3 linked regions of the Struthio camelus genome follow. The protein of the gene in region 1 interacts with the protein of each later gene in a pairwise test. Links are inferred from orthologs where the notes say so. Each region holds a gene or a part of one and is shown in the gene's direction. Other genes may lie near its edges.

What was found.
Region 2: the proteins of NFYC (region 1) and SREBF2 interact in binary tests that used the Homo sapiens proteins (3 or more experiments, as listed by UniProt). The link is inferred for Struthio camelus from reciprocal best matches to the Homo sapiens genes NFYC and SREBF2.
Region 3: the proteins of NFYC (region 1) and DR1 interact in binary tests that used the Homo sapiens proteins (3 or more experiments, as listed by UniProt). The link is inferred for Struthio camelus from reciprocal best matches to the Homo sapiens genes NFYC and DR1.

The regions. Positions count from the first base shown.
Region 1 is NC_090964.1:8,945,679-8,953,709, reverse strand, and holds the start of NFYC (nuclear transcription factor Y subunit gamma), read left to right. Parts: upstream 1-5,021; 5' UTR 5,022-5,024; coding exon 5,025-5,292; intron 5,293-8,031. UniProt on the Homo sapiens protein: Component of the sequence-specific heterotrimeric transcription factor (NF-Y) which specifically recognizes a 5'-CCAAT-3' box motif found in the promoters of its target genes.
Region 2 is NC_090942.1:56,592,861-56,600,523, reverse strand, and holds the start of SREBF2 (sterol regulatory element-binding protein 2), read left to right. Parts: upstream 1-4,620; 5' UTR 4,621-4,746; coding exon 4,747-4,828; intron 4,829-7,663. Other genes in the region: CCDC134 (coiled-coil domain-containing protein 134), read left to right, coding at 1-107, 416-500, 1,385-1,566, 1,854-1,925, 2,203-2,328.
Region 3 is NC_090949.1:18,518,202-18,525,877, reverse strand, and holds the start of DR1 (protein Dr1), read left to right. Parts: upstream 1-4,666; 5' UTR 4,667-5,059; coding exon 5,060-5,279; intron 5,280-7,676. Other genes in the region: retinol dehydrogenase 8, read left to right, coding at 537-630, 2,437-2,620, 3,229-3,462. UniProt on the Homo sapiens protein: The association of the DR1/DRAP1 heterodimer with TBP results in a functional repression of both activated and basal transcription of class II genes.

The DNA.
Region 1 (8,031 bases):
GAGGCGCAGTCCCAGCTCCCGCTTTGACCTTGGAATCACCTTGGCTCTCTGAATGCAAACACTAATTTTCCTCTAAGCGGCGTCTCTTTTTACTGGTGGTAAATTCCTCCAGCGCGTTCCCTGCGTTGCCTCTGCAGGCTGCGCACCACGGCTGAAATGGCAGCCACGTGCCAGGAGGAAACCCTCCTTCGCTGACTTTAACTCTGTCCATCCCTAAAACAGCACCGGACTCGGCTAGCCCGGCTGCTCCCGGGGCAGCGGTGCCCACCTTTGCCGCGCTCGGCTTTCTGCGGGGCGCTGGCGCGGGGTCGGGTGGCCGCCGCGGGTGCCCGCTGCCAACCAGCCGACCCCGACCCGCCTGCGCAAACGCTCCGCTGGTCGGGGAGACGGGGCACAGGCAGGTACTGCCGGGGGGCAGAGGGAGAGGACGGAGCGAGCGCCGGGGCTGGGGCTCTCCCTCGGTACTCTTTGAGTCCCAGGTGGCACCACTGGCTTCAGAAAACACCTATCTGGTGGTTGCCTGCATCAGGGCTGGTGCCTGGGGGTGATGCTGGACCGCCAGGCAGCGGGACGCGGCGCTCGGCCAGCGCCCGTCCGTGGCGGGGAGGACGGGGGAATAACTCCCCTTGCAGCCGCTGCGGGGCAAGGGGACGGCGGGAGAGCTGGGACGGGCGCTGGGACGCGGACCGAGGAGCAGGAATGGCTGAAAGAACTAAATATGGAAAACTTGGATAAAACATAGCTGAAGCAGGGAGATGCTTTCCTCACAGAATTCAACGCGTATAAACAAACCCGGGGAGGGAGAGAGGTTGTCTGGAGGGGGCCTTTGTGAGTAATATTTAGAAATACTAGCTGAAAATATCTCTGTAGAAAAGGCTGTTTTATCAAAGCAAATTTCCAGCGTTGTGCGGGAAAGAGTCAATTCTGGGCACCTGTTGTTTTGGGGGAAAAGGCAGCTAAAACAAGCGCCTCAAGACGGTGGAAAGCTTCTCCTCTTTCGGCTTTTCGACGGCCACGTTTCGGTTATAAAACATGAAGTTTCACAGCAATATTGAAGGAAAAAAAAAAATATGCGATTTTTACCGATACGAAAGTTTCTGACCGCCTCCCTGGTTTTCTGCTTTGCTTGGCAGGCTGCTCCGGGACGGCTGGCCGTCCTCGCGCCGGCAGGGCCGCGGGGCTCGCCGTCCGCCCGCCCGCTGGCCGGGGAAGCGGGGTCGAGCGAGGGGGCTGCAGGCTGCCCCCGGGCTGCCCTTCACCCCGAAACAGCAGGATGGACGAAAGCCCCAGGCTTAAGTCTGGTGTCGGGATCCCGCTGCAGCTCTCCCCCCTCTCTTTAATTCGTTAAGGAGCTCTGCTGGCTGATCTGTCAGATCCTCCCCGCCGCCTCCTTTAGGTTTTGGTTTTGTGTAGACGAAAAGGGGGTTGTTTAATGCGATTACTCCCTTAAGGCCCACGTAAGGGGATTCAAGGGCCCGCTGGCAGCGTGCGGTGGAGGTGGCAGCGGGCGCCAGGAGAGCCCGGCGCCGCCTCCTGCAGAGAGCGTGCCCGCACGAGGCAGCAGCTTCGCAGCCCGGCTTTTGTGGGCTCCCCAAGCCAGGACGTCCCGTGTGGGCGAGCCCGGCATGCCGCGCGCCCTCGGGGAGAGCCCTGCACCTTGTCGAGAGGTTTGTGGGGAGAGGATGGTTTACCCTGGGACTGGCGGGAGGGGAAGAAGAGTTAAACGGTGGGCAGAAACGGTGTGTTTTTGGAAAGGCTTTTCCAAAATAACACTGCCTCCCGGGCAGGGGTTAGTCGCTGTCCGGAGCCAGGCGGTGGGGTGGCCCCTGGGTGGGCAGGGTGACTTGGAGGGCAGGCTGGCCGTTCCCGTCCCCTTGGCACGGCTGGATCCCTTGCCCACGGGGAGGAACGCGTTGCTCACGATGCTCGGGGAGGTTGTCGGTGCTGCGTCAGCTCCTGCAGCCTTCTCCGTTGCTCCTGCAACGTGTCCCACTTCTCGCAGGAGAAAGAGCTGCAGTGAGATGCTGCAAAATCTCCTTTTACCGTTCTGCAGGGAGCAACTGGGTCACGTGGACTCACCAGTGTCCTACTGGGAGAGCCAGCGTGGTTGATCAGCGCTGGGGATCAGCCAGGCAACAGGCGCTAGCACACTAGCAGCTGTCCTGTCTGCTTCCAGCCAGGATGTGCCGGGCTTTGGGAAACCCACCCTTGGACCTGGGAGCAGAGACACCGACTGGATCTTTGCAGTGGGACCAACTGAGCTGACCCGAGTCCCGGCTTTTAGGTGGGAGCTGCATCCTCTCCCCACTCCGGGAAGATGAGAGGAAAGTGCTTCCCTGGAAATCAGGTCTCCCTGCTGGAGCTGGGCTGAGTGGCTTGGCTCCGAGTGGCTCTCTTGCAGCTCTTGAAGTAAACTTTACAGATTTCATAACCCTGCGGGTTTTTAATGACTTCTGTCACAAGCTGTGAAATGTGTAAACGCTCTATGCAAAGTGGCTGGGCTGGTCAAGCAGCCTTTGTGCTGTTACCTGATACGAGTTTGGATTTGCAGCGCAGAGAACGCAGCAGCTTAGGAGAGCGTGTCCCGTTAACTGCTCTGCTTTTCGCTGCACACCACGTTTGGGGCACTAGGAAATAAGCAGTTAAATAGCGGTAGAGCTGAGGCAGCAAGTCAGGGTGCAGGGTGCTTCCACGTGGCTCCCAGTTTTTGGAGCAGCTCCGCTCTGCAATAAAACACCCGCTTTCCTGGCACCAGCTCAGAGGGGGCCCTGTCCCCTGCTGAGGAGCCCTGTCCCGACACTGCCGGCCCAAACCACAGGATGGCACCCAAAGGGACGTGTTTTTCTGTTCAATTTAAGGGACAAGGTTTCTACAAAGCCTCCAAAAACATGTGTGCATGTGTACACACATATTGAGGTACACTCTTAATACTTAAATAGAATAAAGATGGTCCCAAAGTGGGAGATGTGCCAGGTTATGAGCCCTGGGGAAATTCGGAAGGATGGTTTGCAGTCACGGGGTGGGTATGACCCTGGATGTGACACAGGAAATGGGGCAGCCTGCTGGACTAAAGGGCCCCAAAATCTGGCCTCAGCTACCTTCTCTTTCCCCTAGATCTACAAGATGGTGTGTCTGTGTCCGGTCAGATGCCAGTACATAATTCATTGCCATTTTTTTGTAATACATCAGGGGAGTCTAAACTTTTCTTTTCTTGGGGATTATTGCCCCAAAGCAATAGCTCACTTGGGATTAGTCCAGAGTTCAGCTGTAATGGGAGTCACATGGGATAGGAGAGGGCCGAATCGAGGCAAAGGGCCAGGCATGTAACCTCTGCTGTAAGATGCAATTTTCACAAGTGTCAAATAAATTCAGCCCTTCTGAAACCTGGCTCCAGAGTGCAGTAAAGCTCCTCTGGGTCTTACTGCTGATGCAGGAGAGAATGGGCTGAGCAGGTAGCAGATGTCGGTAAGTGTGAAATCAACAAACCACAAAGAAATTTATGTAAGCACCAGTAAATCAGAGAGCGGAAAAAAGCATTTTTCTCCTTGTTTTTCTTGGCTCCTCCACGTTCTGGGTAGGCTGGCACAGAGACCTCTGTGTTTGCAGAGGGCTACAAGCCTTCTTGGGGAAGCTGAGCTGCTCTGAACAATGCAGCCATTGCTGCTGAGAGAGCAGGTGGGAAGGAAACAGAGCATCGCGGGCTTAGTGCAATAGCGCACAATAGAATTAAGCTGGAGGAGGAGTGGGGCATTGTGTAGAAACCCCTTGAGTGGGGCCTGCTGAGCGGCAGGAAAAACAGCTGGTTTGTTCCACAGCTGTGCCTGGCAGCAAAGTCAGCAGCATCACTGGCTAATTGATTTATAAATGAGTCATTTTGAAGAGGGGGCTGTATAACATAACATGTATCACCACTCTCGAACGTTACAACGAGAGCTGAAGCCCTGCTCAGAGAGAATTAAAAAAAAGAGAGAGAGAATTAATAAAAATAACTGTGGCATGTATTTTATTTCTCTTGGCTGCTGTGCCTTGCAAGTGCCCTGAGGTCGTGAAGTCGCAAAAATTTCAACAAAACTGCAGGAATTCACTGCACGATGTCTCCCATTTCAGTGCCAACACACAGTCTTCAGGACAGCCTGGTTCTGAAACCACATATGCGACCGCAGAGATTTGTTGCATTTCCTACCTTTGGGCAAATGTCATGCAACAGAAACCACAGACACTGACTGTGCCTGCAGCAAGGGCTCTTTCTCCTCTCTCACGTAGGGTGCAAACCATACGCAATGAAGCACTGTACCAGAAACATGCCAATCGTCAGCAGACGTCTCCATTTTCAGAAACTCTGCAGAGAGGGTCAGTGGAAGCACAGGAGCCAGCCGGGACCTGGCTTTGCTTTCCCATGACCAATGATATTAAAGCACCAGACAGGCAAAACCTCCTTCTAGCTGTAAGTTGGATGCAATCAACTCGGGCACCAGGGGGACAATAAGGAAGCCAAGAAGTACCGCTTTAGAGTCGTTTTTCAGGATACACTTTTCCATGGGAAAAGCACTGAAGCAGCATGAGTCACACGTCAGTGTAACACATCCCCCGGAGCCAGAAAAGCAGCGCCTGGGAAGCGGGATGGCCGAGCTGGAGCACAGACTTTTGCTTGAATCGGCTCCAGCTGGGGCAGGAGAGCAGCAGGCGGCTGCGAGGACGGCCCAGGGGCCGACGCGAAGCGAGTTGGACAGCTCCTCGCCCGGGGGCCCTTCCCGGCCGCCGCACGAGCGGGGCCCAGGGCAGCGCGGCCTGGGGGAGCGGCCGCTCGCCTCGGCCCCGGGCCTCGAGCCTCGGTACCGGCGGGGCCCAGCCCGGTCGGGGGGGCGGCCTAGGCCGGGGGCGGACCGAGCCGGGGAAGGCCCCAGGCCGGGCTAGGCTAGGCCAGGCCAGGCCAGGCCGTGCGGCGGCCCGGGTGCCCCCCCGGAGGCCAGCAGGCACCGGAGCCCCCTCCCGGCGAGCCGCGGGCCCCGCCCGCCGCTCCGCCCATGGCGGCGGCCTGCCCGCGCCCAACGGCGGTCTCGCGAGAGCCGCCCCGGGTCACGCGCCTGCGCAGGGGCCGCGGCCCAGGGGAAAGGGGCGGAGCCGCTCCGCCGCCGCCTCACGGAGCGGCCGCCATCTTGTTTCTCGGCCGCTGGGCTCTCGCTCCGCTCTGGTCGCCCCCTCCCCCCCCTCCTTCCCGCCTCCCTTCAGCCGGGCCGGAGGCAGCGCGGGTGCCGGGCGGAGGAGGCGGAAGTGGCGGCGCTGGCTACCCCGGTGAGTGCGCGGGGTGCGGGCGGGGGGAGTCCGGGGCCCGTGAGGGGGCGCGGGGCGGGAGCGGCCCGAGGGCTTCCCCCCTCCTCTCCCCTCCCCCATGCTCCGCGCCTATTGGCAGCGCCGCGCCCGCTGATTGGCCGGCGCGGGGGGAGGCGGGCGAGGGGTGCCGCGCGCTGATTGGCTGCCGAGGGGCGGACCGGGGAGAGGACAGGAAACCGAACCGTTTCCCCGCGCGGCCCGGAGCGGCCCGGAGCGGCCCGGAGCGGGGGGAGGGGAGGGGTGGGGCGCGCCCGGGGCTGCGGGGGGGGGGTAGGGGCGAGGAGGCCCGTGTGCGGCCCCGGGGCTGGCGGAGCGCCGGCGGCAGGTGCCCCAGGGCATGAACGGCCTTCCCAGGGCCCTCCCCGGGCAGGCAGCGGCTGCGGGGCCGGCCTGGCCGGCGTCAGCGGGTCACCCCCCCCCCCCGGAGCGCTCGGTGCCGCGTACCGGGGATGCTGCCTTTTACCGGCCTCTGGCTTTTAAAAGATCTCTCCAAAGTCTGGCTGACTTTTAAACTTGGTAGGAAGAGGGGCAGAATTGAAGCTGGGCCCTGAAAGTGCCTGGGAGTGTTCTGAAGGTCTCTGGTAAATATCCGAGGAACTGGTTAATCTGTGCTTGAAACCTAAACGTTTGAGCACCGAGAGTTGTGAAAACGTTTGCACAGAAGTACTGTTTCCCTAGGTTTTTCTTTTTCCCAAGCTGAGGAAATGAAAGAGAGGCCCATCAGTAACGGTGTAATGTTATACATTAAATACCCCGTGAATATGGTAGGGATGAAAGCTAATTATTTTGGGCTGGGTTAGACTGCATTGAGATCAGTTCTTTCGTAGGCCGTGTCGCTAGCTGTGCTCGTGCGTCGATGCCTGTGTGGGGTCAGGAATGAGTGGTGGGTGTAGGATAAACAGGATGCCACAACTTGTTCTTGATTGCAGCGCTGGCTTGTGCTTGCTGTAATTGAACGGTATCCAGGGCTGATATGGGAACCCGGAGCTCTCAGCAGACTTCAGGTTGCTTACAGCAAAAGAAATTATAATGCTAGCTACTTGTCCTGGACTCTGACTTATTACCTTTTGAGACACTTGTCTTATTGAGTAGTGTATTCTCTATGTATTCACAAATAAATACTTCTAATCCGTCTCAATAGCTGTCTGAGTACGTGCGATTAAAATAGAAGTCTCAACTGACTTCGCTTACGATGTCGACCAAACATTCTGCAAGTATGTGGTTAACTTTTTCTCTTCTATTCCTATATCCAGAAAATAGACCTCTTGGGTCATCAAATGTAATTTGCTGCTGTTGCCCTTGGCAACATGATATGTCTTTTCTTAGGCTTACCATTGCCCTTCTTAAATTAGGTTGAATTTTTGGACTGGACTGCTGCTGGATCTGTGTTTGTCTTCAGTTGAAGTGTATTCTGGTTACCAGTCTAAACTTATCTGTGCCCAGCTTACCATCTGTAAGCACTGGTCATAAACAGTAATAACCTGATGTAGTTTTGCTTCTGGCATCACCCAGTCCCTCATAAGGACTTTGGTTTTCCATGTCACTGCTACTCACAGCTGCTCATTTGAGGTCTGGCGTGTGCTGGCAACCTTTGGTCCACTTTGAGCACAGCACAGTGCAAGGATTCAAACACCTTTCAGGATGGATGCAGACTTCTTGGTCAAACAAAGCAAAAAGTGGTGCTTTGAAAGCCCAGTGCAGCACAGAGAGAGTTGTTTCCTCAGAGCGAGGACTGAGAAACATGTATAATCCAGCTGGATCTCAGATGTGCTGTGGGTTGGCCGGGTGACCTTGAGCCAGTAATTTATCCTGTTCTGCCAACTTGTGCCCTCTTATTATTTTGTACTTTATAAAGATAAGAAGTGCCACAACCTGCAAAGATGCAATGGTCGATTATATTGGGTTAATAGCATACATTTCTCCTGATGTCTTTCCAGGAGTGTTTAAAGCTTTTGAGCAGGATTTTCGCAATTCTTTAGCGATAGCTTCGCTGCCCTGTATGACTTCAGAACAGGAACAGATACAGCAACTGAAATAGCTCCCTTAGTGCATACGTTCCCAAACTGAACTTATTTTATCACTGTCATGGAGAATTATTAAATACTGTGAAAGTAATAGTTGTTCCCATGGTCATTCTGGGTCATATCTGCACGTAGGAGAGGGGCCTCTAGATCCTTCCCCTCTCACCTGGAGACAGTGCGTCGCGCCATGGCATGAGGAGGCACATGAGAATGTGTTTGGGCAGTTCTTACTGCTCAAACATCCAGATAGACATTCCTCTTCTCTTCTGCAGGAAAAGATGAGGGGCTGTTTTGGTTTTGTTTTGCATACTGCTTTAAAGTACCTTGCATACCTCTAATAGTAGGCATACCACAGCTTGGAGGCCCTTGCTTTTATGTGTGGAATGACAAAGGAAGAGAACAAAGCATTACTAAGTATTATTTTTTTAAGATGTCACATTTTAACCAATTATATTTAATAAATCACTGGAAAGATCTATTTTTAAATTAATCTGGTCTTGCTATCTGATTCAAAGTATTTTAATAGTGGTTAAGCATTCACTATGCCTCGTATTTCTTTTTTCCTCCACTGCTCTGGATTTAATCCTCTAAGCATATTATTTTCAAGCAGTAAATAGTATCTTGGAATGCAGCTTGAAATGCATGTGGGTATTGTTGATAACTTTCTGAAAGTGCAAAA
Region 2 (7,663 bases), on another chromosome or scaffold:
AGGTGAAGCGCAAGGACCAGATGAACGCGCTGAAGAACCTCATCGAGCTCAACGACGTGAACCAGCAGTACAAAATCATCGACATCATGCTCAAGGGACTCTTCAAGGTGAGGCGCGGGGCAGGCTCTCCTCCGGGCTCGGCATGCTCTGGCGCGAGCTGCCCACTCCCTCCCTTCGCCCCTGAGCTGGGTGCTGCACCCAGGCCGGGACGCTGGGGAGGGCGAGCAGGAGAAGCAACGGCAGCAGGGAGCCTCTGTGGGGCTGAAGAGACGAGCTGAGGGGCAGAGTAGGCTGCTGCAGCAGTAGGGGGTCCCCTGAAGGCTGCCCTTGGACAGAGGGGAGCAGGGCCAGGTTGGGGCAAGGATGGGCAAGGGGGGAGGGCAGGCGGGATGGGCAGTAACCAAGAGCCTTTCAGGTGCTGGAGGACTCCCGGGCCGTGCTAATAGCTGCAGATGTGCCGCCAGATGGGCCTTTTCCTCAGGACGAGAAGCTAAAAGATGGTAGGTCATCTCTGGTCTTCTGCCCCCGTTCCTTTTTCCATTGCTATGTTGCATCTCTGTCTTTTCGTGTGGGATCAGTGCCAGGGTAGCTATGAAATCCCTGGGGCTGCCTACAGAGATCCCTACGGGGATCTTCCACTGGTCCCTGTGGTGTTTTCTATCGGGGAGCCATTACGGTCTCGCTGACCAGTTCATACTGGGGATCCTGCCCATTTACCCCCTGCCTCTCCATCTTTGCCACTAGGATTTAGATGCTCCCAGGATGAGGTAGGGGCAAATGACTCTGAATGAATTTGAGTTTCACTGGGGAGGCCTTTGTTCAGCAGTCTCCCAAAGGATATGGGGAGAGGAGGCCTCATCACAACAGAGATTTAAACGTAGATCCTGCAAAGCCCCTGGAGAACATGCTGCCCAGCTAGGACAGGGCAAAGGCACTGCCTGTTGCAGCCGTCTCTAGACTTTCCTGCTCTCGTTTCCCAAGTGGCACCGAGCTGATGTGGTGCTTTGTAGCCTGTGTGAGCTCTCCCGTCCCTGATCTCTGCTGTCGGGATCTGCTCCACATCCAACCTCAGCAGCCAACCTCGACTTCCCCCAGCCAGCCTCAGCTGGAACTGCCCCGTCCCCGCTGCTGAGGGCCAGGAGCCATCATGGGACGTCAGCCCCCGAGGAGGCTGGGCTGGGCGCACGGCGCGTCCGTAACCGCAGGCGGCGGGACGTGGAAGGGGAAGTCTCACCGCGTCCTTTGGAAGCAGCCTCTCCTCCCGTCCCTGTGCTCCGGCCACGCGTGGGGGGCCCTGGCGGTTGGGGAGGGGACCGTGGCTGGCGGGAGCGGGGCAGTGCGTGGGGCCGGCCTGCCGACAGGGCCGGGTGGCTCTCCTCCGCAGCGTACTCCCACGTGGTGGAGAACACGGCCTTCTTCGGGGACGTCGTCCTGCGCTTCCCCAAGATCGTGCACCACTACTTCGACCGCAACTCCAACTGGAACAACCTCATCCGCTGGGGGATTGGTTTCTGCAACCTGACGGGGGTGTTTGAGCAGGGACCCCACTCCCAGGTCCTGGGGCTGGTAAGGCCGAGTCTCGCCCGTCGTATCCCGTCTCCGCTGCCGGGGGGGCAAAGCGTGGGCACGGGCGCGAGGGTAAAGGGAGAGCAAGCAGAGGGAGCGTTCGCCTCTTCCCGTGCCTGCCGGGCTGGAGAGCGTCTCCCCTGCCTGAGGGACATCTTTGGGCTGGAGGGAGAGCGAAGGGGCCCAGAAAGGAGGGAAGGCTCGGGGTGGGGGGGGGGGGAGGCAAGGACGCGGCGGGCGACGAGCGACGCCGCCATCCGCCGCGCGGCCCTTGCTTTGCTCTGCAGATGGCTCAGGAGCTGGGAATCAGCGAGAAATCTCCCGATTACCGCAACCCCTTCAAAACCGACCACTCCGAGGTAAGACGGCAAAGCGGCCGCGGTTCTCCTCCTCCTCCACCACCTCGTGCCGTGGGGAAAGAGGAGGTTTGGGGGGGGAGAGGGAAGGGGAACGGCCGAGCGCGTGGCTGGGAAGGGAAGCGGAGGAGGGAGTCCCGTCTCTGGCCAGGCTGGTGCCAGCTGCTGGCGGGTACAAAACCGTGCCCTCCTCTCTCCGCTCCTGCGGCGGGGGCCGCGGGGCCTCGGGGCTTGCTCCTCCTGGCTGACGCCGTGATTTCCCCCCCCCTCCCCGGCTCAGTTCTTCCCCAGCGCGGACACCTTGCAGAAGGCACTGCGAGAGGAGGAGAAGCGGCGGAAGAAGGAGGAGAAGCGGAAGGAGATCCGCAAGGGCCCGCGCATCTCGCGCTCGCAGTCCGACTTGTAGGGCCGGGCCCCGGCCCCGGCGGCGGGGACCCCCTGGCGGCGTCCCGTCCCCTTCCCCTCCGCCAACTTCCCCTCCAGCCGGGGCGCGGGGGCGTGAAACGGGCCTGCCGCGGCGAGGGGATGGGGGGGCCGGGGAGCTCGCGGCGGGAGCGAAGGGGCCTCGTGGGCAACGCTGCTTCTGTGAGGTTTTTTTCCTCTTTTTTTTTTTTTTTTTTTAAATCGGTGATGTTTCCGCTCCCTGCGCCCCAGCCCGGTTATACCCGATCTCTGCCCGGCCGATGCACCGGATCTCCCCGTCTCCTGGCCGCCCTTTGGCTCAGCCGCCCGCCTGTCGTCCCTGGCGGCTGAAAAAGGCCAAAAGAGCCTTTTTCCCGGCCGGGCCGCGGCCCCCGTTTTCCCTGAGCGGCTAATGGAGGGGTTTCCTGATGGGGACGGCGGGAGGGAAATTGGGAATTAAGCGGCGCTCGCGGGGACGGACGTGGCCTCTCCGCCCTCCTTTCCCTGGCACCGCAACGGGGCTTGGTTGTGGAAGCGGCCAGGGTTGCCGAATTTCCCCTTCCACCCGATTTTTTTTTCCCTCCCCCTCCGTATTTTGGATTGCAGAAGTCTTTTCCAAAAAAAAAAAAAAAAAAATCCCACCATCCAAACGCTACCTACCCCGCTGCTGGGGGGGGGGGGGTCAGGGCCGCCCCTGCTGCGAGGGGCCGGGGGCGGCTCTGGGAGGAGGGAGCTCTTCCCCCCGGCTCCCTCGGTGCGCGTCGGCGGTGCCGGAGGAGCTGGAGCCGGCCGGTCGGCCCCCGCCTGCCCGGGACCGGCGCTTTCCCACGCCGCCCAAGCTGCCTTCGGGCGACTTGACGGGGCCAGTGGTGGGAAACGTCCTTTATTTTTAAATACGGAGACGGGTACGTTCGACGGGGGCGTTGGGAACTTGCGTTGAGATGGGAAGTGTTTTGTTTTTCTTGAATAAATCTGATTTTTTTTTTTTTTTAAAGAAGCCTGCGTGTTGATTGCGTTCCCAGTGGGAGCGCTCCCAAAAAGGGGCGCGTGCCCAAGGGCGTCTCCGGGCCGTAGCTTTGGCTATTTTAGAAGGTGCCTAAGTGAGGAGATACTAAAAGGATGAGGCCAACTCTCCCAGCCGGTTACCTGGGAAATCGGAGCACCTTTTAATAAAACCCCTTCCTCCAAAACTTACTGCTGCTTTCAATCTAATGTTTCTCCCCCTTCATCTGATTTCATGCCAGCTTTGTAACAGGTCCGAGCCGCTCTTCCTCACCATCTCGCAATCTCCTTTAGGCTCCCAGGGAGAGATGTTCAAGGATATTTAGGTGCCTGCAGTTGCACCTAAATACGATTTTTCAAAAGCATCTGAGCAGGTTAGCTGCTAATTTCCTCCATCGCTTTCTCTCCGGGCTCCAGCGGTTGGGTCACGGCGCGGAGAGCCCGCGGAGCGACAGGCGCCGTGAGCGGCTCTGCGCTGCTGCAACACCTCAGCTTGCAAAATCATGTATTTTCCCCCTAGGGTGCCGCATGCCCGCAGCTCCCTCTTGGTCGAGGCTCCCGGTGAACGGGCAGGGGGAGAGGAAAGGCTGCTGGACATGGCAAGGATGCGGGGGTGTGCGGGGCCGGGGGTCCTTCAGCAACCACCCAGTTGGTTATTCCTCCCTGCTGCAATTTTTGCAACCTGGTGTAACTCCAAAGTGGGCCTTGCTTGGAGCAGAGACCTCTGAGGTCCCGTCCTGCTGGACTGTCCCGTGTCCAGCGGCGCGCGGGGGCGGATTTATCCAGCGCTGGTCGCCACCTGCCACCCGGCCCTGCGAGGCGCTTGGGAGGGGGCTGGGGCCACCCTAGTTGTGCGACGCGGCTTCAAGGCACGCGATGGCCGCTCCTCGGGGGTGAGGAGGAGGGAGCCCCGAGGCAGGAAGAAGCCTCCCTCCTTCCCTCCCTCCCTCGCACCGCCGTGCGGGCTGGGCCCTGCGGCGGGCAGCGCCCCCGCCACCCACCGGCGCGGTGCTCGGCGCTGCGCAGCCCGCCCGCGCCGCCGGCCACGCCCCCACCTCATGAATATTCTAATGCAGGGGGAGGGGGAGGCGGGGGCGGGGTCTGCTATGCTAATCGCAGCTGCTGATCGGTGACGCGCCATCACACCACGCGCCGCCGCGCCCGCCGATTGGTCAGGGGCGACCTGGTCTCATTGACAACAAACCGCGGGAGGCGCGCGCGCGCGCGACGCCGCCGCCGCTGCCGCCGCCGCCGTAGCGGCGGCTGGAGCTGCGGGCAGGTGGGGGGCGGGGCCGGCGGGCCGTGGGCGGCCCAAGATGGCGCGGGGTCGGCGGCGCTCGCCGGGAACCCGGGCTTGAGCGGCGGCGGCGGCGGTTCATGCCCTGGTGCGGCCTGCCGGGGCGGGGCGGGCCCGTGCGCGATGGAGAGCGGCGAGCTGGGCGCGGAGAACATGGAGGCGCTGACTGAGCTGGGCGACGAGCTCACGCTGGGTGACATCGACGGTGAGAGGGACGGCGGGGGCCGTTGTGACCGTTGGGGAGCGAGGGGGAGGGGGGGGGAGCTTCCCTGGCCCCCGTGGCGAGGCGGCGAGCCGCGCCCGGCGGGTGGAGAGGCGCGTGGGGCAGCCCCGAGCGGGGGGTGCGAGGGCGCGCGGGGGGAGGAAGAGGTGTCCGTGGGCCTGCCACGGGAGGCAGAGCTGCGTGGGGAGGGGGTGCGGCCTTGCTCGGTCCTCGTGTGACGGCGCGTGGGGCGTAGGGGGAGGCGCTCGGTGCGGGGGAGCGCTGCCCCGGAGCCGCCGTGGGAGGGGGATCCCGAGTGGGGCTGCCCGCGAGGTGTCCGCCCCCCCCCACCCACCCCCGCAGCGCAGAGCGACGCGGGTGGCGCCGTAGTGGCCGCTGCTGGGTGGCTCCGGCTCTCCCCGCGTGGGGAGCGCGTCCCGCGGGTGGCATCGCCGCCGCTGCTCCCTGGCTGCGGCTGGAAACCCGCCGCGGGGGGATCGCCCTCGGTGGTGTGGTCCGTCGGGGCCCGGCGAGCTGATGGCCAGTCCTGTTGGGCAAGGACTTTTTACCAAGACTGAGTCACTCGGGGTGGTACTGGGATGTTACGGCAATAACCGCGGTCGTAAAAATAAAAAATAAATAAAAAAAAAAAAAGCGATGTTAGAGGGTAGCAGGGGTGGAAGGCGCAAGGCTGGCGGCCCAGCTGGAGGGCACGCACACCTGTCGGAGTTGGACAGCTGCTGCGCGCTTCTTCGAACTCGGAGCTTTTGGCTGTTAAAATGATCAAGGATTTGAGGGGGGGGGGGAACAAAAAGTTAATTGCCTTTCCATTTCCTTTTTCCATCCCGAGTCTATCCAGCAAACGGTGCTGTGTTGTCCGTTTTGGGTTTTTTTTTTTTTTCCACTGGTTGGTTTGAAGTCTGTTATAAAGAATGGATGGAATTGTGCTGCCGCTAGCTCCTTTCAGAGGAGGTTGTTCCACGTCTTTATTCTAAAAATGAAACGGATGTAACTGTTAAATTTTCCTTTTGTTCCTTATGTCATCATAAATTGCTTTAACGTTTACGCCAGACGTCAGATAAATGAGAAGAAATGTTTTTTCCGCTGAAGTACAAAGCTAGAATGAATTATATTATTATTATTTTTTTTTTTCTTGAACAGCTCCTGGAAACCTGTAAAAACTATAGTTGGACTAATTATCTGATCTAGACTGAAAATTAAAACAGGTCCTCAGCAGAAATAAGAAAATTCACTGCTCTGACTTGCTTTGTTGAATATCTTTTTTGACTTTGCTGAACAGTAATCCTAAACAAAGGTCTACTTTGAGGGGGGTGTGTGTGTGTATCTAAAGCGTCCTTGTTTAATAGGTGGAAGACAGAACTGAACTGGTGCTTTTAAGTTTGATTGCAATTGATTTGCAGGGCAATTGGTAGCCATTGGAGGCAGTTTCTTTTCTCCGTAATATGTAAAACAAGCATCTGTCTTAGGAAAATGCAAGGGGCTTGATTATCACTGATAAAGTTCATGATGCGAATTAAAGATGATGTTTATTGTTGTCTGCAAAATAATGTCTTCTATAGGTCTGCATGGAAGCTGAGGCAAGTTCTAATGAGCTTTGAGCCAGGTCTTCTGAGCTGTTGGTGTTTTCTCAGTGAAATGTGGTTCAGGAATGTGGAACTCGGTGAGAAAGGAGAAGGTCTTTTACCTTACTCAGAATGGAGTGGATTTTCCTGGAGAGATGATATAATAGAGTCCTGGTTTTTTTATTTTGATGTGAACTCATCTCAGGATTTAAAATTCTGCAAGGGTTTTGGTTTGTGTGTGGGGGGTATTTTTGTTTTTTTTTACTTCTTGTTTGCTGCCTAAATCTCAGCAGTCCTCTCAATTTTGGGTCTGAATGATCCTCACAGCTTGCTGTACAGCTTTTTATTTTAAGTCTGGACTTGGAAGAAATTAAAGGGTGAATGACCCTGATTAGTGAATGGCCTTGACTGCTCTAGGAAGTTAATTCTTTGTAAAGTCAGGTTCCCAGATCGGGTGTGAAATCAGTCCAGGGCTTCAAGTGGGTGAACACAGCTTTTGGTCAGAAGTTCCAATAACTGAACAATAACCTAACTCTGCATGGTGTTCAAATGTAACTTTCTTCCCGAACTTCGTAGTACTGCAGTCTGACTGCTGTGTTGGCTACAAAAACCGCACTAGTGGAAAAAGACCTTTGAGAACCAGATGATCCGTGATGTAATCTTTGCATTTCCTTACCCTAGGGAGTTTAATTTGGTCATGGTTAAAAAGTACGTTTTTGTTTTTTAGATTTTGGTTTTTTACATTCATGTCAAAGTATCTTTTCAACTCTGTCTGTAGCTTAATCTGCTACTCTTTGAGTTTCTCTGAAAAGCAGCCTATGCTCACAAACACCTAGCAACCTTCTAGGAGGGTGGTGCGTGCAATACGTAGTAGCTGTACTGAAGCTGTAGCTTAAGCACTGTACTTTTCTATAAGGTACTTGGACACTGATCTGGAAGAAGTAGAAGTCATAGGTGGACTGACTTTGACGATATCTTGTGGATATTTTCTAGCTCTGTGTTTGCTCGGTATTGTTTTCTGCAGCAATATCTTGTTCCTCTGTAGTGACTGAGACCTTCAGCACAGAGGGTGCAGCTAATCTGAAAATGATGGGTTTATCACCAAATTGATGCCTGAGGGCTATCCTCCAAAAGCACACAAACATCCTAATAGTTTATTTATGTTTGCCCTGTTCTTTGTGTTGGCAAAGGAGTTCTCAGAGAGAGAGAGAGAGAGAGATTGGGTTCTTGCTGTTTCTACAGCTTCTCCTTTCCC
Region 3 (7,676 bases), on another chromosome or scaffold:
CAGGTCAAATTGCAAGAGTTGTTATAGTTTAATACAGTATTTACTCTCCATCTAAGTGGATTGATGTCCTGCTTTTTCAAAGTCCCTCAGATGCAAGCTGGATCTCTTGTATTATCTTATCCCCTGCATTGCACTCAGCTTCTGTGTTTCTCTACAGCCTATTAAAGTCTTGCTGATGAATAATGCAGATGGTATTGTATGTATAGACACCTTCGTACATTAGGCTAAAAAATATTTAGTATAATTCAAAAAGACCCCAGCATCAACTAGGAGGGGGAAAAGACCTCGTCAAGTACCCTTTTCTAGAATAAGTAATTTTGAGTTCACGTGACAAAAATCAGCAATATTTAATATTGCTAGAACTAGCTCACTAGATTGACATAAACAAGGATTTTTTTATGTTTTCCCAGCAAGACTGTAGAAATTTGGGGAAAATACAAGTGGTTCTTAAACTAAAAGATTAGTATAACAAAGAACTACAATATAAGTATGTCGCATACAATCACATTCTCTGGATGTTTTGTTTGTGCCATCAGGTATCTTATTTAATGATGTTTATGCTGCGTCTAAGTTTGCTGTGGAAGGATTCTGCGAAAGCTTAGCTATACAGGCACTCAAGTTTAAGCTCCAGTAAGTATGGATCCACAGATGTGAACTATATTTTAGTTTTAAAATGTATTCAGAGCTAGCAAACAAATGTTTTAAGCTTGCTACTGTCTAGGAGAAACAAACTGAGGAACCCATGGCAACTGTACACCACAAATGGCACAGAAATGTTCTCATCCTTCAAATGAAACAAACCCTTAAAAAGGCTTAGATGCTAACGAAGCATGTTATCTTGAATAGCGTAAGGCTGTTTAGCTTTGAACAAAATAGAGGTCAATGTACTTCTTAAAAATACCGATTCTTGCATACGATACCATTTGAATAGAATTATAATACCAACCTGTAATACTTTCCTTTAGAAAGGATAAGAGTCTTTATTTCTTAGACAATCCAAAGATTAAAAAGTTCAAGGGCATCATAACAGAGAGAATGCAGTGGAAATTCATCAGAAGGGCACACAGACTGAGATAACCCCTAGGGGCTGGAGGTAAAAGGAAGGCAAGGAACAATTTAGTGTTGCAGCGTAGTATTTTCTTACTGTTTAAGACAGTATTTAAGAGAATGGTCCAGTCGGTGGCCTGTGGGATTTAGGTGTCTGATTTGTCACCTATACATTCACATTGGCATATTACAGGATGAAACTTTGCTGCTACTTTGTATGTGTGAAGTCCAACAATTGTTAAACATCCAGTGCACCTGTGTATGCCGGAGCATTTAGCCCTTGTGCTGTGGGAGAAGAGACAGCTGCTTTCACGTGATTCCAGAGACAAAGCTGCATCCAAATGGGCGTTTTGCACCCAGCTCTGAAAAGTCATGATGTAATGATATACAGGGTATGATAGAATTTATAAGATTTCAAGACTCTGAGATACAGAGGAAAGGAGGTAAACAAACAAAACGTGGTGCCCAGCAAGTAGAATGGAAAAAGTCCAAGGCCCAGTGAGGAGACTGACAGCTTAAATGATTATATTACGCAAGCGAAAAGGCTGTAATTCCAGCAGCAGCTGGAATTCTGCTGTCAAGGTCAGTAGCTTCTAAGGTTAGTAGTTCTAAAGAAGAGCCTGAGCAGAAGTCATCTCTACGAAAAAGTCCTATCCAAAAGAGTTGTTTCATAAGCATGGTGGCTGGAGGTAAGTACTACCTGAGAGTAGAAATGGAAAACAGTTGGTCAGTAAGTGTACGTATTTCAGTGATTTGCTATAATACATTACTGATCAAAATCTGATTTTCCAGATATCTGGTAAGGCAGCAGCCAAAATCTGTCCATCCACAGCAAAAATCTCCATATTGTATTTTATATAATTTTATAGAGTGCTCTGCAATTATGTAACGCTGAAGGCTTGACAAAGAAAATCTATTTGGGCAGTTTCCTTCCCCCCCCCTCCCTCCCTCACCTTTTTTTTTTCATTTACTTTGAGTATTATCATGTGAAAGCTATGGTAAAGAAATCTATGTAGGATTTTGTCCGGAAAGTAATGAATTTTGTAATCATCCTTAAATTGCTTTTCTTAATCTTTGAGGAGATCTCATGGCTTAATCATCCTCAGATTCCACAGTTGTTAGACAGCAGGTAACAACTGCACTCAGTTCTGCCACAAACTAAGTTAGAACGCTTCCCAGAAATTAAATTATCCTTTTTTTCTACATCTACACGCGGATGGGTAAGAGCTGCAGGCCAGAAATGTGGTATGGATCACCATTACAGAGTGTACCATTCAATATTGCTTGCTAACGGGTACTGTAACTATTCAATATCCTTTAAGAAGGATAGCTGCATGTATTTCCCATGCAGAAGACTCTATAACCAGTGTATCTTTGCTCTTTGAACAGGTTAAGTCTGATTGAACCCGGCCCAGTGGTCACAGAGTTTGAAAGAAAAGTTTTTGAAGATGGAATGAAAATGGATCTTTCAGCTGCAGACAAGGAAACAGCTGAGATGTTTACTAACATTTACCTTAAAAATTACAAACAAATTTTCCAGAGCCTGGGGCAAAGTGCTGAGGATGTTGCAGAGGTAACTCATCAACAATTCTCTTTTTTTTTTTTGGGGGGGGGGGGGGCGAGGGGATGTGTGTGTTGTAATTTAAGAATTACCAAAGAGTTTAAAAGACAGTTGTGAAACCGGTAAGGTACAATAAAGGATATAGTTTCCGTTGTTTGAGGCTTTCTGCAGGAAGCAAAGTCTGGAAAGTTGGGGGAGAGAACAATGACTTCAGGTGCTGGCTGCTAAGGGATAGCTTGGGTGTCAGCTGAAGCTTCCTGGGTCTTGTTGCAAAGTGCACCATTCTCACCCTTTTCCAGTGAACTGTAAAAGGAGGTATCTATCTATTGAGGGCCTACATGGATAATCTTGAAGGACTACTCAGTACACTTAGGTGTAAGGTGTCATCACCATAGTCTAGATGAACAGAAATAGGATTAAGAAGAAATAAGAAGTTTTTCTTTTGGCTTAAAATTGTTCTAAGAAACAATTCTAATTAAATTCTAATTAAATTTCATACAGGGTTTTACACAACTCTAAAATTTATTCTCCCACTCTTCCTCTGCCTAACTTATCAAAATAATAATTTAAAAAAATGATTTTCAAAGTTCTTTAACGATTTACTTTCTCGTTCTTGACAGCATACAGTAAAGATAATTCTTGCAGAGAATCCGCCTTTTCGCCATCAGACCAACACCTTGTATACTCCGATGACAACTCTGAAGTATGCAGATCCAAATGGAGATCTACCCATTGATACATTCTACAAAATGGTTTTTCATCATGACAAAGTCTTCAGCGCGAGTCTTAACTTTATCAAACTGCTAAGGTGGAGAAGTAGAAAGAGCTTTGACCTGGGAAAACCCTCACAATAAATGCCAGTTTATTCTGTGTACATCTGAATAATTTGTTCTAGCTACTGATAACACAGTATGTTGTTATTAAAATGTATTTGCTCTGTAATTGTTAAAAAGGCAATCAAGATGTTTGTTTGAGCTTAGCTAAGATATTCAGCTCAGTTTATTTATCTTGAACTTTACAGTTTCCAGACTCTTGAAAGTAAAATCTTCTACAGGTTTGGTCAGTTTAGCTCTTGCCTTTTACAGAGATCAGTTTTTGTGGAAATGTGAACATTAATTGACATTTATGTATTAAATACTAATCTGATCCCCTTCACTTACTAGACTATAACATAACCTGAGATGTGTACTGCATGTAAATTATGGATAGATTCTCAAATCATAAAATTATTTTATCCTTCTGCTTACTAGTATGGTAACTCCTCAATCACAGTAGCATCACACTTCCAGAAATCAGGACTAACTGCAGAATATACAAGAAAAATACTCGTCAATCCTTTAAAAAGTGCAACTAGAGTATTTTAATATTATTTTTACATATATATATATATATATCACGTTATGAATACTTGCTTTATAGGCAGTGGTTACTTGCTGACTACAACTAGTGGACAATAACATTTTTTTTCAATTGCTTCTTACCTTGTTGTATTTCCTGCAAAAACAGAACCTTATCACTAAAAACTAATGTGAATCCGTTCCCTTCCTTGGGCAATTTCGACGTTAAAAACACTGGAGTGGCTTTGCTTCCCCTTTTAAAAGGAAAATTACACGAAACTCGCTACGGCAGCAGGAGCCGTCCTCGGCGGCTGTCCTTTCCCCAAGCCCCCCTAAGAAGTACCGTAAGCAGGAGGTGCAGGTCCTTCCCTTTCCCTTCTCTTCCCCCTAGCGCCGCAACTCGACTCAGACCAGGCCAGCAGCCTAGTTTCAACCGCGGCTGGCCCGGCGCGGCCCTCCGCGCTGCCGCCGGGCGTGACGGAGCGCCGCCGGCCACGCGCGGCAGCCCGCGGCCCCGGCAGGGCCGCGCCACGCAGCAGCCGCCCCCGCGCCGGGCTCACGCCCCGCTCGTAGCGCCGCCCCCCGCTCCCAGGCGGCCCGGCCCCTCCCGCCGTGCGGCGCCGCCGCCCGCCCCCTTCCGGCGGTCGCGGCGAGGGGCGGGGCGGGGCCAGGCGGCGGCGGCGGAAGCTTGACCCGGCTTCCGGCGGAAGCGCCGTGGCTGGCAGGTCGAGCCCGTGCTCAGCCCGCGCCGCCGCCGCCGCCGCCGGCCGGGGGAGCCGCCGTGCCCCGCCGCGCCGCGCCGCCCCGCCGATTTGGCCGCTCCGCTGCCCTCCGCGCGGGTCATAAGGCGGCGGCGCCGGCGCCCCGAAGGATGTGGCGGAGGCGGCAGTGGCAGGCGCCGCGGCCGAGGGAGCCCTGAGCCCGGGGCAGCGCTCGCCCGCTCCGCGCACCGGCCCGCGACCCCGCCCGTCCGTCCGCGCCGCGGCCGCGCCGCGCCTCGCACCCCCCTCCCTCCCCCCCCGCCGCCGCCCCGCCCCGGAGCCCCGCGCGGCGGCCGAGGGGGAGCGGTGAGCGCGGGAGCGCAGCGCCCCTCGGGGAGCGAGCGGCAGCCGGCATGGCCTCGTCCTCGGGCAACGACGACGACCTCACCATCCCGCGGGCGGCCATCAACAAGATGATCAAGGAGACGCTGCCCAACGTGCGCGTGGCCAACGACGCCCGGGAGCTGGTGGTGAACTGCTGCACCGAGTTCATCCACCTCATCTCCTCCGAGGCCAACGAGATCTGCAACAAGTCGGAGAAGAAAACCATCTCCCCCGAGCACGTCATTCAAGGCAAGTTCCCGCCGGCCCCGGAGCCGCCTGTCGTCCTGCCGCGGCGGGCGGGCGGGCGCGGAGGGAGAGCGCGGGCGCCGCCGCCGCCGCCGCCGGGGCGGGCTGTGCGCGGGGCTGCCGCTCGCCCTGCGCCTCTGCGGCCGGAGCGCGGCCTCGGCCCTCCCGGCGGCCGCGAGGCGAGGCCGGCTCCTTAGAGCCGGAGACCGCCTGGGGAGCCTGCGCTTCTGAGACGTCTTTCTGGCTGGAGACTCCCAAAAGGGCTAGGTCGGGGCAGGTGGCGGGGGCGGTGCGGAGCCCGGTCTTCAGTCCAGTCTCTTTGCCTGGGTCACGTAAGGAGCAAAACACACCTACGGGGCTGCCCGCGCAGCTGGATGGCTCAAGAATCGAGGGTTCCTACCCGCTCTAGGAAGCGTTTGGACGTGACATATGCTACTGCATCTTTTTCTGCTGTTGACTTGCACTTCCTCTTGCTGAATAAAAAGAGAGTTCCCTCATTCGTTTTTCTTTAAATTCTTCCACAAACAGGAAGACTTTTTTTAACCTTATGCTGAAATCTCGAGTGGGCTTCTTCTGTCCAGTTTCATTCGTATCTGGTTTCATTCGCTTTGCTGCTTAAGCAAAGGTTGTCGATATCCATGTCTGCTGCAAACAAATGGGTAGCAATGATATTGAAGGTGGCCAAAGTGCTTCATTGTGCTGCCTGGTAGAGCTGTTAAGAGTAGTATTTGCAGTAGAGCTCTTTCCAGGGCTGCAAAGGTATCGGGTTAATGGGAAAACGATATATTTTTTGTATGCTTTGTTTTTGTAACAGGCTAATAGATTCTCTACTTAAACCAAACAAAAAAAAAAGCCCAAAATCAGATTCCTTTGTGTTATGCCAGCTTGCTCACCAGAAGCGTTTCAGTAGCTGACTGGATTTTGAACAACAGAAGAAAATACTATATATGAGCTTTAATGTTGAACGTTAAAAGCATGCATTTTAAAATTGGTAACAGGAAGTTCAGAAAAGCAGCTCAATTACAGAAGTTCAGGATGTAAAGGGTGAAACTTTTGCTTACGCGTGGAAATATACTTGTGATATGAAGCTTCTTAATACATAGAAAGTTTCTTCACGTGATCACCAAAAGATTTGAGCTCAGTCCTTCACATAAGACTAGAGATGGTCTTTAAGGTTCAGGACAATAAATAGTTCACTTAAAGTATTTTTCTGCCCATTAGTAGTGGTTCTTGGAAAACTTTCGCTTGTTGCTATCCTAGGGTTAGTCTGGATTTTTGAAAACAAATGACACTTTTTTGATAGGATATCCAAAACTGTAAGAGTAAGTAGAAGTTGAAATCTTAGGACGGTGCATATATCATCATGAGATGGTCCCCAAGCAAATATTTTGTCTATGCCTCCTTCTATGTCTTTTTATCATCAGATTCCAGGGTTAAAAAAAGGTTAGTTTCAAATTAGATCTGTCCATTTTAGTCACATTTTTACCAAATAAAGCTTGGAGGTGTATCCTTTTTATGATACTCCAGAGGAGGAAGGAGTTGTTCTTGGATTTACTCTTGTCCTTATCTTTAAGGATGTGCAGGTGCTATTCACTTCTTCCAGACAGTGGTCAGTTAGCAGATGATCTCTCTGTGGAGTGTGAGGATTTAGATCAGTCATTTTGGAACTGCTGAGGTTATGTGTATATAGCCATAGCATTTCAGCATATTTGTAATTAGGTCTTCATACATCCTAGATGTTTGCTAGTTTGAATACCTCTTGGCATGGTTTTGCCACAGTGATGCTAACAAATTCAGTAATACACAAATACGTTGTTGTCTTATGGTCATCTAGATATCTTAGTCCTTTCAATTGCTTAAACTAGCTTATTTAGAAGTAAAAGGAGGCTAAGGTATGTCACGTCACACCTGGTCCAGTCTAAATAGCAGCTGCTGTCAAAAGCAGCCTTGTTCTGTGCCCTCCCTGGAGCTGGATCTAGCAATCACACAGCCGCGGGGTGAGCTGGGGCAGTTGGAATTGGGAGGGTGCATAGTTTTCTATCAGGTGAGCTTGTTGATCTGACTCTTGCAGACATGCAGTTACTAAATTGAGTGCAACGGGCAGGGAAGGCGTTTCACTGGGAAGGAGGATGAGGAAAGAAGGTAGATCTGCTCCTTTTGGTGACACCCTGCAGTTAGACTGTGGTGGAGGTAATGTGAAACTGCAGTTTGTCACTGTAGGCAACAGTGGTGCATAAGTCACTTGCTCCTTCGCTGTGCTAGCGAAAACGATTGTGTGACCATGTGGTGAACTAGAGCCTTCTTCCTTGCTGGGCTGTGTTCAGGGGGAGGAATTCCCTGCCCCGTCTCACTGTGTGGTAGCACAAACACTTGCCCTGCACAGTGCTGTGAACCAACATA